Oryctolagus cuniculus: one gene and its partner. The protein of the gene in region 1 purifies or fractionates together with the protein of each later gene. This does not show direct contact. Links are inferred from orthologs where the notes say so. Each region holds a gene or a part of one and is shown on either strand. Other genes may lie near its edges.

Region 1 (3,647 bases):
TGAAAGAACACTTCTGAAAATACATTCATATCAAACCCATTTACCTGTACCTGTATCTTACACAAGTGCGTGTGTAAAGCTAAAAACAAGATGAAACAAAAGCCCAATAAATTTGAACCAAATATTTTATAATTCCTAAAGCTATAGATTAGGAAAAAAGCACAAATTAAGTACATTTCACAAGCCCAAAGATCCCCAGAACTTGGCGTTCTTACCAGTGTCTTTATCCCTGGCCTTGTAAACTTGTCCATAAGTACCTTCTCCAATAATTCCGATGATATCAAATTTATCCACGCAGCGTTTTCCCCAGTCAATATCTTTTTCTTTGATTTCACCATATCGAGGCCCACAAATTCTATCAAATATAGTTCTGAAGTTTTTATATACAATCAAGCAAACTTTTAAATGTTTAATTACTCAGTATCCACCCTCCACCCAATCTTGCATCATTTATTTTCTGCTAATCTTGCATATTTGTGATCACGTATCCAAGGCCAGTAACAATGTGTTTTGGTATTGTAATTTATCATAAAAGTCATGATATCATTTCAACATACTGACTCTTCTTCTGTAGACTATTACTTTAACTGGGAAGAGAAATCATGGAATTTGAATAAAGGGTTTTCAGAAATAAAATGCAATTTTCCAATGAGTGGATGAAACCAACACTAGCAGAAAAAAGTTCTCTAATTAACATCTACTTAAACAAAATTCAATAATAAACATTAACAAAAATCTATTAAACTTATCAACAAATTAAACTTATGGCTGGACGAAATATTTTTAAAAAGTGATTTCAAAAATTTCAAAAAAATAAATGATATAATCAACTCCCAGAAATCCACTCTTAATAAGATTTAGATACAACAAAATTTCATTCTCCAAAATATTAAATTTTGCTGCATTTTAATATTCTAGTAGATCATAGAACTTCCAAATAATAATACCTCAGTACACTCAAAGAGGTAAAACTTTTGTAGCTTTCTACTCCATACTAGAACATGACTTCTTACCCTTATTCTAAGCACTACTAGCTGAACAGCACTTCTAAAATCACTTTCCCTTGGTTAAGTTGAAGTAAAAAAAAAAAAAAAAAAAGCATCGATGTATAGTCTCTTTAACTGATGAACAAGTTTCAAAGGAAAGAATTCTCTCTAGACACTTACTTGAAGCTAACTAAAAACACAGATTTCAAATGTTTTCCACTGTATCTTTTGCAAAAGTATTTTGCAAAAATAAAGAATGCATTTAGAGGGGAAAATGCAGCTAAACATAACAGCTTGCCCATTTCTCATTTGGACTCACTGAATGCTTATTCTACCCTGCCAATTTCAGTGTGTCAGTGTCACTCAGGTATCTTAATTACAGAAATTATCTTGAATACATATAATATCCCAAGAAATTAATACATTGCAAACTGTGAGAGAATATTGAATCTTGTTTTATTTGTAATAGTAAATAGGTATGCAAGCACTTATGAAAAAACTTATTCATATACTTAAATTGGAAGAATGAATACACTTTTTTATTTAAGCTTAAAGTTTGTGTTTTATAAATTTATGATGATCCAGAATCATTTCTAGTCAATTTATGAGCAGGTAGAAAGTAAGCACATACTTAGGTCTCCTTTTACTATGTAACTGTGTTGCTGTTTTCTTTTCTTCTGGACTCTTTGAGAGATCATCTCCTCCCGGCAGCTCAGGAGGCAGTGGTAAGTCAGCAAGTAAACATCGGAGTTTCTTTTCTACTTCTTTTTTAACAGCTTTTACTGAAATATTTCCTCGTAAGCTAAAAAAGAAAGTCAAATAAGTAAAACATAAAAATGTAGTTGAGCAATAAAAATGTAGCCCTGTGAGGTAGTGTGCAATGGCTGTGCATTTCTTGTGCCATTTCACACTGCAAGACACTAATCAAAGCTAAGTTTCCTTACCTTCCAGATGAAATAGTACACTACATACAACTGTAAAACATAAAACTTAAGGATAATAGTGATATAGAATTAGTTTTTTCCTAAGGACATCTGTGCAGTATGAATGTTAAAAATAACATATTGTGCAGCCGGCGCTGTGGCGCAGCGGGTTAACACCCTGGCCTGAAGCCTCGGCCTCCCATATGGGCACCAGTTCGAGACCCAGCTGCTTCACTTCTGATCCAGCTCTCTGCTATGGCCTGGGAAAGCAGTGGAGGATGGCCCAAGTCCTTGGGCCCCTGCACCCACATGGAAGACCTGGAAGAAGCTCCTGGGATCCTGGCTTTGGATCGGCACAGCTCCAAGCCGTTGCGGCCAACTGGGGAGTGAACCAGCAGATGGAAGACCTCTTTCTCTTTCTCTCTGCTTCTTCTTCTCTCTCTCTGTAACTCTGCCTTGCCAATATATAAATCTTAAAAAAAATATATTTATTGGCAAGGCAGAGTTAGAGAGAGAGAGAGAGAGAGAGAGGGAGGCAAGAGACAGAGAGAGAGGGATATTCCACATGCTGGTTCACTTCCCAAATGGTGGAGTTGGGCCAATCCAAAGGTAGGAAACAGGAGCTTCTTTTGGGTTTCAGGTTGGTGCAGGGGCCCAAGGACTCAGAACATCTTCCACTGCTTTCCCAGGTGCATTAGCAGAGAGACTGATGAGAAGTGGAGCAGCCAGGACTTGAACCCACACTCATATGGGATGCCAGTGTTGCAGGTGGCAGCTTAACCCACTAAGCCACAGTGCCAAATTAATCTTTTATTGTTAATACAGTCCCTAACAAAACCAAAGCAAGAGTTCATTAAATGCAACTTGACAAGCTGTTTATAAAATCTAAGAATATGGTAAAGGAACTTCCCAAAAATTTCTAAAAAGAATAATGAAGATGTATTTACCCTGTGAAATGGCCAACTTATTTAAAGAGATCCCAATGTCTGGATGAAGTCTATTCAATGTGTTACTCAGTCTAGCTAATGTTTTGCCAAAACCTAGAAATCAATGGTAAATATTTTTAAATCAGAAGACTTGCATAAATATTCAGATTCCAGGATTCTGTTTTAAAATAGCAAAAGTCCTACTGACATTGTGCACAGTCTTTTGCAGCAGCACTGAAGTTGAGGCTCAACAACAGGGCTGTTCACTAATGACTAATTTTCTCCATGCCTTTCACTTTCATATTACCTGCCTGTCTCTCTGGTAGAATTCTGAGTTTGAAAGCTAATACATTATGCAGCTAAAGACATTAAAACATTAAGGTACTGGCAAAAAAAAAAAAAAAAAAAAAAAGCCAAAACAAAGTACAGAAACACAGGTGTATCTTTCAGAATTTCTATATATGGCATTTCAAATTAGTGAGATGGATCATTCTATGGATGGTACTGGGAACAACACTGGGTGGAAGAGGAGTGGAGAACCAGACCACTCCTTCCTTCCTCACATGGTAACCAAGAAAAATCTCTGTAAGAAAACCTTTTGCATTAACCCTTTGTTTATAAACCTGAAAGTTTTAAAAGAAAAAGGTAAATTTGATTACAATAAAAATGGAAAACATCCCTATATAGAAACAAAACAAAGGCCAAAAAGCAACAGACTCTTGGGGCCTGCACTGTGGCACAGTGTGTTAGCCCCGTGGCCTGAAGAACCTACATCCCGTATGGGTATTGGTTCTAGTCCTGGCTGCTTCTCT
Region 2 (3,647 bases), on another chromosome or scaffold:
CAGTGGATGTAAGATCTCTCTCTGGCTCTCCTTCTCTCTCTCTGTAACTCTGCTTTTAAATACATTTTTAAGAAACAAGACAAAAACCTCCCCTTCCACTTTCACACGTTTAAAGGAAAACCCAGTCTTGGGAGCCGCGGTACACAGGAAGAATCCTCTAAGCATGAAGCACCCTGGAAAGAAAGCTGAAGCAGCTCAGTACCTTCCAGCACGTCCACGGGGACATCCTGAACAAACTGCTCCCACCATCTCCTATACATGGGCTTGGAAGTCCACTCCTGAATCTCAAACTTGCACAAGCGCCCTGCGAGATACATCACCGCGACCGCTATGATCTCCGGCTCCCACTGCAGCGACAAGGTGGTGCAGAGGCTGCGTGAACACAAGGACAAGTCTCTCAGATTCCACGAACCAACATTATGACGCAAATCCTGCGACGCAATGTCCTATACCTGCTGATTTGCTTATTCTTTCCACAGATGACTGAAGTATTATAAATTAAAGCAAGTCTTCAGCCTTCTAAAGGTACCAAAATAAGTTAAACAGTTATTAGTTTATTAATACACAGTAATTCTTGCACATTCAAAAATTATGACATCACATAATACAAATGACAATGCTTTATGTTCTTTAGATTGTTGAAATCCTTGACACTGAACCGTTTCTTCAAATTAATGCCTAGGGCAAGGTCAAACACATGTACAAAAAATACAAAAGCAGCTTTTCGGCCTAAGGGGCAGGGCCACCGCAACACTAAGACTGGAGGGCATTCTGACCCTCCGGCCCCCCACTTGGAAATGAGGGCCCTAGGAAGAACTCGGAGACTCCCGAACTATTACAAATAACAGTGTTTGCAGAACCGACTGGCCTATAAGTATGCAGTGCTCAGAATTCTCCAGTGTCTTGTATTGGACTTGGTTTCAAACTGGTGATGAGATTTCAGCATCTCACCACCGTGATGCTGGAGGCCACCTGCCTGGAAGCGATGGCCGCAACCTGAAGCCCAGCCTGGCCACTGGCCAGCTCTTCCAGCTGGGGCAAGGCAGGTTCCTCAATACAAAGCGAGGGGTTTAGATTTAATGACCCAAAACTCTCTGCTTATTTTGAAACACTGTAATTGAAACAATATTTGAATATGAGTACCTGTCATTTACAAATGTCCACGCCATTTGAACCAACTTCTGAATTTTGTTCTTATCACCTACAAATGGGGAAACAAGGTAAGTTAAGGGTAATATGGGGAAGGGGATAAGGCTTCACTAGAATCAATAAATATTGATTTAAAAACCTATGGTGTGGGGCCAGCCTGATGGCAGACGGCTTACAATGCCACATGTGATGTTGGCATCCTATATTGGAATGCCATTTCGAGTGACAGCTATTTTTTTTTTTTTTTTTGACAGGCAGAGTGGACAGTGAGAGAGAGAGACAGAGAGAAAGGTCTTCCTTTTTGCCGTTGGTTCATCCTTCAATGGCTGCCGCGGCCGGCACGCTGCGGCCGCCACGCTGATCTGAAGACAGGAGCCAGGTGCTTCTCCTGGTCTCCCATGCGAGTGCAGGGCCCAAGCACTTGGGCCATCCTCCACTGCACTCCCGGGCCATAGCAGAGAGCTGGCCTAGAAGGCGGGCAACTGGGACAGAATCCAGCGCCCCGACCGGGACTAGAACCCGGTGAGCCGGCGCCGCTAGGTGGAGGGTTAGCCTATTGAGCCACGGCGCTGGCTGCTACTCTACTTCTGATCTGGTTTCCTGCTAATGAACTTGGGATGGCAGAAGACAGCCTAAATACTTGGGCCCCTGGCACTCATGTGGAAAACCAGGATACAGTTCCTGGCTCCCGGCTTTAGCCTGCCTACACTTGGTTGTTGGGGCCATTTGGGGGAGTGAATCAGCAGATGTCTTTCTCTCTGTTGCTCTGCCTTTCAACTTAAAAAAAAAAAAAAAAAAAACCACAAAAGTGACCAATGCAGAATCACTGTTTATGGGGAACTGGGCTCCAAGGCTAATTTTATTAGTCTATTTAAAAAATTCTGACTCATTTTCCTGCCTCATGTCACTTGGCAACTGGATGACAGAACCTGTTTATGCATAAAAGGGGACAGAATTACCAGCTATCATACTGAACAGTTTGAGCAAGCTATATCCTGGGTACTTTACACATTGAACCCTCTGTTTGCCTTTTGAGAAGCATAATCTGTGTCTGAACAAATTCTAAAGAGTTGATTTCAGAATGAAAAATTCTTTTTTAAAAAACTTTTCTCCCTTACCTTTGAGCTGCTTTGCATATTTGAGTAGGAACTGGTATGGATGTTCTACCTGTAAGTCGAACTTTATGGTCTGCAGTAAGATTCTCTCCAGTACCATTACTTCTTCCTAAAAATAAGTAGCCAGGGTCGGGGTAACAGTTACAGTCACGGGTCACAAGCAACACTAAAAACATGAGCTCTTCTATTTATTCTCTCGTCCACTTATATTTTAGCAACTGTTTTCTGTTCCTTTTCTCCTCTCTCCCACTCAGGTTTTTAATTGCAGAGAGAAAATGATAAATTCTGAAAAGAACTCAAAATAGGAATCTGAAATAATCAGAGGTTTAATTCTAAAAAACAAAGCTTCTTAGAAATGTGATTACTTTCATTACATATGTGTCTTTCTTCACAAAACACTTTCACTTTTCGATATTCTAACTGAATTGCAGATTCTTTCAAGATTCCGATAAAAAATTCACTCCCTCAGGAATTTTCGCTGCAAACTTTCAACAAGGAAGAGATGATGATAGCCAACTGCAACGATGCAGCAGGTGTGTGTGTGAATGAGGCGCATGATTTCCGTGTCTAAATTCTTCATTTACCTGAAATAAGCTGTCCCAACATCATTTGCTGAATAAGTTATCATCCCCTTCTATTTGAAAGTCAACCTAAATCACACTCTAAACCATGCATGTATGCACACACACACACACACACACACACAGAACCTCAGCTGTGTGCTGACCTGTCTGCTTGGAAGGGATTGTTCCGTCACCTCCCCTCTTTTCAGAAAATTTATTTGCTTTTGTATGATCCCCATCCCACTACCTGAACTTTGGTATCATTTTACTAAATATTATCCTAAAGAAATAACTATTGACATTCCGATTAAGAACTTGCTGAATTCACAGAACAATCAGGAAAACAGAGACCTTAACTACATTTCATCTTCTTATCAAAAATTTATTAACACCTTTTCCATCCTTTAGGATAAGTCTTAAAGCCCCCTGCCAATTTTCCCAGGGATTATCTTCAGATATTTTACCATTGCTTTTATAAATGGAATCTCCTCTCGGGTCACACTCTAACCAGTTAATGTTTCTTAATGGGTACTTCTTGCCTTCCACTGTGTATTGTCTGCACCTAGCACTTAAAGACAATGCACAACACAATCGAGACACTCACTGGGAGTACAAGCAGCAGTGCCTGCTTGCCATCAGAGAAGAAAGGGCTCTGCAGAGCACCCACAGTCTCTTCACTAACAGCTGCACAAACCCAGCAACCCAGGAGGCGACATCCAGGCGGCAGGCCTGTCGTTTTGAAGTACGGCACAGAACAGAGCTGATTCTCTAACAGTGTGCTAGTCCCAGCGGAAAGGCAGGTGTAAGGTTTCCTAACCTA

The links. The genes of interacting proteins can lie anywhere in the genome.
Region 2: the proteins of CDK13 (region 1) and CCNK purify together in Homo sapiens (affinity purification with mass spectrometry; 4 studies listed by BioGRID and IntAct, counting the BioPlex papers as one, with this or other methods). This does not show direct contact. The link is inferred for Oryctolagus cuniculus from reciprocal best matches to the Homo sapiens genes CDK13 and CCNK.

What each region holds. Positions count from the first base shown.
Region 1 is NC_091447.1:29,927,690-29,931,336, reverse strand, and holds part of CDK13 (cyclin-dependent kinase 13), read right to left. Parts: intron 1,789-3,647; coding exon 1,618-1,788; intron 356-1,617; coding exon 216-355; intron 1-215. UniProt on the Homo sapiens protein: Cyclin-dependent kinase which displays CTD kinase activity and is required for RNA splicing.
Region 2 is NC_091451.1:43,357,841-43,361,487, reverse strand, and holds part of CCNK (cyclin-K), read right to left. Parts: intron 2,374-3,647; coding exon 2,268-2,373; intron 1,202-2,267; coding exon 1,144-1,201; intron 373-1,143; coding exon 203-372; intron 1-202. UniProt on the Homo sapiens protein: Regulatory subunit of cyclin-dependent kinases that mediates activation of target kinases.